2 linked regions of the Drosophila melanogaster genome follow. The protein of the gene in region 2 interacts with the protein of the main gene of each other region in a pairwise test. Each region holds a gene or a part of one and is shown on either strand. Other genes may lie near its edges.

What was found.
Region 1: the proteins of CG5890 (region 2) and IP3K2 interact in a two-hybrid assay, tested with the Drosophila melanogaster proteins (2 studies listed by BioGRID).

Annotation. Positions count from the first base shown.
Region 1 is NC_004354.4:13,303,483-13,308,797, forward strand, and holds the start of IP3K2 (inositol 1,4,5-triphosphate kinase 2), read left to right. Parts: upstream 1-2,032; 5' UTR 2,033-2,397; coding exon 2,398-3,465; exon of another isoform or gene 3,466-4,522; intron 4,523-5,315.
Region 2 is NT_033777.3:25,854,566-25,859,428, forward strand, and holds the start of CG5890 (uncharacterized protein), read left to right. Parts: upstream 1-1,588; 5' UTR 1,589-2,408; intron 2,409-4,863.

The sequences.
Region 1 (5,315 bases), on a different chromosome or scaffold from region 2:
TGTTCTCGGTTTTAATTTCGAAGAATTTAATCTGGGGTCGATTTCGTTTGGTTTTGTGTTTTGCAAAAAGTTGGTGTAAAGCGATAAAATGTTATTTGCGTCATTTGGTCTGATAGTTAACTATAAAAAGCAAGATGGGAACTTATTTATAAGCAGAAACATGAACACGATACGAACATGGGCAGAGCTATTTAATTTTGTTCATATTTCAACGGGAATTTTACAGCTTGTAATTGTTTACTAAAGACTGCTGCCAGTTTTAAACCATACAATTTAGTTTTTAATAAGTGCTTGTACTGCAAAATTTAATTATACCTTTTGTTTCGGTAAGCTTCATAAATCTGATCTTGAAAAACTAGTTAGTGCTTTAGTTGCTTTCCGGGAAAAGTTCTTAGTCAGCTGGGTTTTTTTTAATTCATTTTTTTTTTTTGGCGATAAATCACCGATTCGTCCCATTGTGCGTGACTGTGCGCTTGTAGTGGTGCTCGCAGAGTGCTTTATTGCATTGGGCTCGCATCGCCTGTCAGTCTGTCACTGTGTGTGCTGGTGTGCGTGCGCCTCTCTGTGTGTTCGCGCGTGTGTGTGTGTGTGCGACGTATCTGTGCCCGCTCAGTGCTCTGTGCTCAAATGCAATTTACAATTACGCGCGGCAATTGGAGCAGCTACCGTTGTGTGCGTGCGTACGTGCGGGATCATTGCACATTGCGTCAACGTTTCAAGATCACAATTACAATTACCCCGACGCAGTGGCAGTTGCAGTAGCACCAAAAAATCCATCTCAATTGCGAGAGAACCGAACAGTGGCAAAAGCAACCGAAAATTAAGTAAGGCACAGCAAATTTGTCGAAGAAAACTATCAACAATACAAGTAAATAAGAACGGCAGAACGGCCGCCCGCCCCCACAACAGCTGCTCTCCGTTGATGCGCCACTCCACTCCGCGGCTCAACGATTCTTCTATACAATTCTTCGAGCCTCCTCCCCTCGCCCATTCTCGCCCCACGAGACTCCCCTCCCCCCGCCCCCCACGCTGCTCTTCTCGATTCTTTTCGCCCCTCCCGCCGGCCCGCTGGAAAAAACGGGCAGAGCTGCAGAGCCGCAGAAAGCGATTTCAGTTCGGCGACGGCAGCGCACAGGTGCCATTCGGAAAGTGCGGACGTAGAATGTTTGCCGGGAATTCCAGTGGCATTTTCACCTATAGTTCCACTCGATTTTGCCTCGACGCCAGCGTTAGTAGCGCGTTTCGACGGAACACACAGATCGTTTTCCAACACCATAAGCACCATTTCACTTTTGAGTCTTTCCTTATCAGTCACTCCCAATCACTACCCAACCATCATCCACTACTCTTCACTAGTTTCTCTTTCTACTATCCTTTTTCTTATTATTCCCATCCTCCCTTTTAACTATCTTCACACACTCATTCTTAACGGAAATCTTCACTGTTTTTATGCTTTCTACTATCGTTCTATCCGCCAGCCTTTCACTTTTCACTCGCTTCTAACATTTACCATTCTAGCTATTTTTTTACCATCTCTTACCATTGAATTCTTTATATAAGCCTTAGTAAATTAGTATACAGAAAATAGTACGAATTTCCATTTTCCATTTTCTGCACTTTTTTCAACTTCTTCTGCTTACAACATCTTTCTTATCACCAATCCCATTACACTTTCTTGCATATTCCTATTTCATTTTTGCTGTTCTAACGAATCTCACACTTACTTCATTAGTCCCAACTCTTTGCTAACCTGGTGTATACATACCTTTACCCACCCCACCTCTACCCGCGATCCAGCCAATCCATCCATGTGAGATGAGTGCGTGCGACGGCGGTACGGGAACGGTTTCGCGAACGTCTGACGCCCCCGCTTTCCAATTCGATGTCATGCCAAAGATAACGACGTCGACGTCGACGTCGAAAGCGTCGGCAGCGAGGGCGAAAACGAAAACGACAGCAAAAGCAACAACAATTGGAAAAACAACAACGACGACAACGCGGAGAACGGTTAAAATTGAAAATAAATGGACGACGGCAGAGGCAACGGCGTTCAGTTATCAGCGGACAGCGGAGCAGATTGGAGCTAGTGCCCGAGCCAGAGCCAGAACCAAAGTAGCAGCTACAGTCAGAGCTAGAGCAAACCCAATTGCGGCCACATCCAATCAGCGAAGTGACATTGGTTATCCATGTGAGGTGGCATCCATCTCCGAGTTGGCCCTACGCAAGGCGCAGTTGAAAGCGCAATTTTTCGGCAATCAAGTGGGTGGATTAGCCCGCGATAGCGAGACAAGCAGCACCACTAGAATCACTCGCACCACCAACTACCGCAGTGCTTATCCCAGCTGCAAGACGGAACGAGGCAAGCCGGTGCAACAGCTAATCGATCAGTTCCAGGCCATGATTGTCCAGCAGCAGCAGCAGCAGCAGCTGAGCAACGAGGGCGAGCCCAAGACACTGCCCGGAGCCACTGCATCCAATTCGGATGAGGGCTGTAATGTCACCGGCGGCGGACTGAGTCCCTATAGCAGCGACAACGAGGATAACAGCCTATCGCCGAGGCAGCGCAAAATGAAGGTCACACGCTGTGCCAGTAGTGATTCCGCCCTGGGTCTGGACGTGGACGATGGCGGCATGGATGTGCCGTTGCCGCCACAACGTCGGATGACACTGACCGTAACGGATTTACCCCTGCGACCGGCCCTACTGCCACTGGCCGAACCCACAGCCCTGCCAGATTCGCCACTGACATCGCCCACCGGCGGTGGCAATCCGAGCGTGGGTGTGCCCACCAAGGTGCTGCTCGAGGAGCGAGTGGTAGCCGCACCGGGATCGCGACGTGAATCCACCCAGAGCTCGTACAGCGAACTGGGCGTCAGTGGACTGCCGCTGGGCGTGCGCTATGTGCGCACACCATCCGTCGTGGTTAGCGACTATTCGGATGACATAACCGCCTGCGGCATTAGCATGGAGGAAATGGAATACTTTCGTCTGCAGCGGGCGCGTGGTCAGCGGCGTTGTTCCCTGGAGGCGGGACATCACAGTCATAGCGGTGGACATGGCGCACATGGACACGGTGGATCGGGAGCGGCGGGAATGTCGCCGGGATGTGGCAAGGACGATGGCCAATCGGATGTCAGTGCAGCAAGCAGTTGCAGCAATCTCTACTATTGTGGATCCACCATTTCTGCCCTCGATGGTGGCGAGTGCATCGTGAATGGAGTTCGAGTTGCGCTCGCCAGGAAGAGCAGCACCCAGAGCAGCAGTCTCAGCGACGAGGAGGAGGAGGAGGAGGATGACGACGAGGATCGCGATGAGCAGGATCGCGATGAGGATGATCGCGATGCGGAGGAGATGCTTCAGGAGGATTACGAGCGGGGGGATCGCGAACGTGAGAGGGAGCGGCAGATCAGCGAACTAATGGCCGCCACGCAGCTTGGTGATCGTCAGCGGGATCGATCCAAGAAGGTAGGCGCCCGCGATGACGTCACAAACCAGGGAAATCTCAAACTAGACTAAAGAATTCGGGTTGGCAAAACGGACAAGTAACAAAGTGGAGCAGCCTAGTAAATTTAATATTAAACACTATTTTTTTTTTTTCGTTTTTAAATATCATTAATGATTGTTTGTGTTGTTGTTATCGAAAGCATAAAAGAGCAGTGAATGAGGGCAGGTCTGAATGGCAGCGAAAGAGATAAGCAAGTTGGTGCATATACACAGGGAGAAACGGGTGCTACGCGTAGATGAAATGTGGCATAATTAAAAAAAAAAAAAAACAATCTATTTTGCTCTAGAGCAGTATTATACCGTTTAGTTTATCAACTGCAAGACCATTATAACTATAGAAAAAGACTATAATAATAAGACTTTTACAATACGCATATCTATTAAATATAAAAAGAAAAAAAAAAACAAAGAAAATCCCTTGAACTACTGACTTGATAATGCGAATTACCACTAAGTTTCATCTTGTTTTAAAGATGATGAGATGATATATAGGCTCAAGAACGGTAATCCCGCGCCTTATCAGCTAATGGTTTTTCCACCTTGCATATGCAGGTCTTTTCTTTCAGTGTATGCGTTTGCTTAAAAGGCTATTAATTAATTAGAATTTTATCTTATCACTAAAATGAGGTTCTGTTACTCGGAGAAGTCTTTTTGTATTCTTCGCTTTTCGTTCGCTATAATAATTATCGTTTTTTTTTTTTTTTTTTTTTTTTTTTTGAGTGAATGAGAACGATATGATGGTGGTGATGTTGAAAAATAGGGGGTTCCTTGATAAAAAAAAAAAACAAGTATATATCTACGAAAATACGAAAACCTCGGATCCGTTGGTTTAATTCGTTTTTTTTTTCGTATCTAGAACTGCAAAACAAAACAACGGCAGCGATAGCGAGGAAAAGAGCTTATCTTAGTTAACTGTATACTGTATTATAGATAAATATTATGTACATATATAAGCCAGCACATATTTACGTTTATATAATGGCATCTTTTTTTTTTTGTGGTTTATTATTCCTTTTGTTGCTGTTGCTGTTGTCAGCAGACGGCGAAAAGTTTGTAAAGCAAATAAAAGTATTAGAAACCGAATTTTCGGAGTCATGATAACGATAATAAAGCAATTCACCTGGATATCTCATACATACATACATGTACATATGTGTATATGCAAGAGATATGGATATGTATGTTGTCTGATCGTATATGTATGTGTGCCAATGTGTGTTTGGTTAATAATGTTACGCGCTTATCAAGCGGGTTTATCTGCCTGGCATTCATATAGCAATATATGGTATATATGTATATATATACCCTCACCGCCGACAAAAGCAATAATTGGAGGCATCCCAGAAATGGCCTGTTGTTCTTCTACTTTTTTTTAAGCCACGGGCATGCGGCTTATATATGCTTAATACGATATACTATCTACTGTATAGTGTGGTTATATCTATGATGATCCCATCCGCCAGTCTAACACAATTGTATAAAGCTCTGTCTTACGGGTTGTTGTTTTTTTCTTTTATTTTTTTTTTTATTATTATTTTTTTTTCTTTGCGGTGGGATGAGTGATAAGCGATTTTGGGTGATATCACGCATACGTCATCGTTCCCATTAGGATTCGCATATATGTCTATATGACACACGAGCCCTCGTGTCGTTGGGGGATTACTCTATAAGTCCCGGGGATTGTGTTTATAAGCACAAAAAACACTGTTGATAAGAAAGTATCTCACAGAGATGGAGACATTTCTGCAAGCATAATGATAATATTGCACACTAAATGACGACTTGCTTGTATTTTTCTTGAAATACTTTTC
Region 2 (4,863 bases):
TTATGTACTGTACCCTATATTGTTAGGTCCCCGAGCGTTCTTCCATGGTCATTAGAAATTTAATTAAAAATTTTGATATTGTTAGGAGTATAGGGAATTCTATTTATTTCAAGCTTCTTCCGCCCGATTGCCCATTAAGCGGTATTAAAACTGTCTTCCCCTCGGTGCCAAAGTGTCATACTTGTGCATATTTCACACCCTCGCTCGCATTCACAGAAATGTGTGCACATTTCGCAGGCAATGAGCTTTTGAACATTTAATGAGTTAATACGCTAAATTTGAAAGCCGCTCAAGCGTGCGCCAAGTGCTTCAAACACTTGTCCCCATCCCCGAGCTGCCCATTTTCCAGCTTGAATAATGAGAATGGGGGTATCAAGCCGCTAAATCCAGCACTGAAAAATTTTTCATCAACTTAATAGAAATGTGTTTATTTTTTAATAATATACATTTAGTTTGTAAGATATGTGAAATAAAATAATTTCGAGTTATTTATGAGAATTATATACGAATAAAAGATCAAAAAAATAAAACTAAATTTTTCTCAGTGTACGCACACACGCATATGCAAAACACTAAGCACTTGTCATTTGGCTGTAAACCCTACGCGTCCGTTCGTTGGTATAAAAAAAACAGTGCAAATGTCCAACAGACGAGCATATGTACATACATATGTACACTATAGGTATGTGCGATGTATGTACATATGTACATATGTGCGAAATGGAGGATTGGTTGGCTGTCGTGGCGTCGTATTCATCCTGAACTCATGGGTGTCATTTCTCAGGACCCTCGCGGTCTGCAGGATAACAGCAGCGTAACAGAAGAAGACCCTCACTGGGGACCAGGACCAGAAAAGTAGAGGCTGCCAGACTGCCTCACTTTTGGCGTTCAAGTGAAAGGACGAAGTCGCCGACACTGGTGTGGCAATACTTTTGGCAGCCAATTGTGCGGGCTGAGCAAGATGAATGAGGAATATGAGTGTTGCTTGCACAGTGGGCTACTTTCAAGGGTGTTGGAAGATTCATAACTATCTTAAAGATGCTTTCAGCAGTACTTCTTATGTGCGAGATATAAATTCAACAATTTCTAGATTTTGTAAATAAATATTTCCTTCTCTTATCCAAAATCATTTATAATAAAATAATAATTATTTTATTATAATATACAATATAATAATAGTTGTCATGAATTTAAATGTCACAAACAGGCTGTCTTTCATTAGTAACATATTTTAAAAATTACTCATACGCCACGTTGTCAGTCAAGTAAATATATTTGCCATTTAAAACAGCTCTTCCAATATTATTACAATTCAAACTAATTATATGCGTTATGTGGCTACTTAGTCCACTGTAACCGCCGAGGGCTATGCTATACCCTATGTGCCGCCCGCAACCCAAGTGAGTGCGCACCCACTCTCCGGCGAACTCGCTCTCCGTCTCCGGCGGAGTGGCTCCGGATATTTCGGCAACAGAAGCCTGGCTGCGATAGCCGGAGATTTTCCGAGCGAGGGAAAACCGAATGCCGAAGCGTCGCTGCTGGCAAACATTTTCCATTTTCGCAGTCCTGTAATCAGTTGTGTATAGGACACTCGCGTGCGCGCGTCGAACGGTTTCTGGCTTTATTTGTGGGAAAAGTGTGTGTCTGACGGCGAAACGGTAAACGGGGAAAACGCTGCGCGGTTTTTGCTGCTATCGAGTTCTTCTTTTGCTGGATTTTATATATGGAAACGATTGTTGCTGCTGTATCATTGCAGCTTGCAGCTTTAAATTTAACTTAAATGCTAAAACATCGTTTTGAAAAGCAACGCGAGAGTTAGACAAACAAGTTGGAGGAAATTTTCCAGCTACAGCTACAGCTGCTGCCTCAGCCAGCGTCGCAGTCGCTGTTCGAGATAAAGGATATGCCCGGATCTAAAAGATACAGTTTTTCCTCTTGTTTCTTTTTCCGCTGCTGCTGCTCGTGCTACATTTGCTGCTTGGCATTTTCCGCACAGCAACAACAATCGTTGAGACAGGACCGCAAGTTTTGCTAAAATGTAACATAACACCAAATAAGCAGAGTTAGGAAGAGTGAGCGCCAAATAATGCAAATAAATGAATAAGCCCAAATCATTAACAAATTAAAACGAGGCACGCAAAGGAGGGCAGGAAAATATAAATATCGAAAGGAGTCAAGTCAAGTGCTTTCGAGGAGCTGTTTGCTGACATGCTTTGAGGTTAATACCACCCACCACCACCCAACCGCCCACTACCACCCATCTCAACCATCAGCCATCACCAACTCCTCCTACCTCCCTCATCTCCGTTTTGGCCAATTTCTCCGTCTGCTTTCGCCGCTTTCTTCGTCAACGCCGCTGCTGCCGCCGCCGCCGCCGCTGCTGCCGTCACCATCAAAAGGCATCGAAGGTAAATATATATGTTATATTTTAGCCGAGTGTGTGTATATAAGTCAATGGGCCAACAAACTAACCTACAAAGTAAACAAAAGCGTTACGCTACAAATGCAAATTTTTCGCACACATGCTCAAGAACTATAAACAACAACTCATTTAACTGACGCCATGCCCCCATAAAAAAACCAAAAACAACGCAGCTTAAGACTAGAAATGAAAAAAAAAAAATGGAAAACAAACAGTGAAAAGGTGGAAATGGCACGGCAAATGAAACACAACAAAGCAAAACGCACGCTTCTAAAGCTATTTGTATAAAATTTTAATCGCATGCGATTTATTTGACTAGGCGCCAAAGTCGCACGCACGCACACCATCGCATTTTCGCAGAGGCACCCACACACACACACACGCAGGCTAGTGAAAATTCACACACTCACCTTGAAAAATGCGAAAAAACAGTCTGGAATATTTTGTTTATTTTTCGCAAAATTATGGAAAATATTTATGGGCTCTATTTGAAGTTTGAGCTGTGCCAGGTTTTTCATTCAATAATTGAGGAAAATAATGAAAATGTTTAAAAAACGCATCAAAGAGTATTTTTGTGAGATTATATTTAAAATTGGATGTGAGGCTTCGATTTACTATTGAAATGTTAATTTTCATATTTATTTAAACAAATAAGAATCTGTGTTTGAAGACGCACCTGGCTGCAATTGTTTACTGTTTACGGCACTGTGAAAATATATTAAATTGTTCATACATATTTTTAACTTTTGGCAGAAGTGTCGACAACTTGTTTATAATTTTCCAAAATAGTGAAGCTTTACATATGTTATTTTTTAGCATTGCGGTAATATATGGGTGAGAATCGAATATACTAACATATTCCTTGAGTATACGATTTGTTTGTTTTATTTTCTTTAACAATATTACAAAATGAATTATTCCCAGAAGTGGTAAAACTCTTTTTACATGGCGTTTAAATTGCGTCATTAAAAATTCCCATTATTCAACCCAATTTCCGTGTCATTTAATCCGTGACAAGCTGTTAAAAGGAAACAAACAAACAAAAGTTGTGCGCAACAATTGATAAGCAACAAAAGCAACTATCGTGCCGCTTGGCAATAAACCATAAAATAAATGCCAATTCCATTTAGATGCACAAGCCGATTAAAAAGTCAACTTGGCATAGTTTTCCAACTCGTGCGACATTGATTCGTGATTGATTTGGTCATATTGTAATCTAATTTCACCGATTTGAAAAGTAACTTCAAGTAGTGTAAATCACATTATGTAATTAATCAAATATATGGAGATTTAATATATATATTTTAAGCGATTTTACACGACAAGGTCCTTGCCAAACTAAATTCGCTGTCATCTATTTATATAATCCCTGGCCAACTATTTTAAGTGCTTCTAGCCGAGAAAAGCTGCATCTGCATCCTAAGAATAAAATGAACTTGGTCGCGGGAAGCTGGATGAAAAACACTTAACGCGCAACTAAGCGACAATTGTTGTTTTGTGTGGCATTTAAAAATAGAATCAAGGTGCGCTCTAGTTTCATTCATCCACACACAGAGACATCCCCACTCACACACACGGCGCACACACAGATACAGGTACAGAGCCTACATAAAAGTGGCTGCTGTTGTTTTGCAAGTGGGTGAATGCGGGGCAAAGGGGCGGTCGCCGGGATGTATGCTACACGAAACTGTAAATAGAAAAGTTATAAATAAAATTCACACGAGCCAACATTGAAAAAATGAACTTGGAAACTGTAAAAAATAAAATAAAATATAATAAAAACCTGGTGAGTGGACGCCATATAATGGCTGATCATTCAAATATTCAATTATTGGAATGAGCATCGATGACAGCACACAAAATAAATATTGGTAGATGATATATGTTAAATTTAAACATTTTGTGCAGCACATCTGGGCACTATTACTTACCGGTTAAAGGTCAAAACACCTTGGCCTTGGCCAAAAGGAAACTCTAAGGAAAACGCAAAGACACGCAAGGCAATACCAAACGAGAACCGCAGCTGTGAGCTGCAAAGTGATTCAACGCTTTTCGGCTATAAAGTGCCTAATCACTTTGGGTGTTAGATGTGTGGGCCATTCAATGACACTGGTAATTACTGGCCCAATCGAATGATATTGTCTTGGCCTAAGTGAGTAATGAGCAAAGGGCGTGACAATCGCCAAACGTCCAGACCTCGTTGAATAATTAAGCCTGTTCAAACGAACTGACTTTCAGTTAAGTAACTTGCACCAAAGGCCACACAAGTATCAAGTTACCAAAGAATATTATAATAAAATACCAAAAGTGTTGTTCGCATTTAACTTTTTTTAAGTGAAACCATACATTTGCGTTAAATATTATTGTGTTATATTTTCTTCGTACATAATATAACCACGAACCATTTAAAGGGCTTTAAATATGTATATGTAAGCATTTTA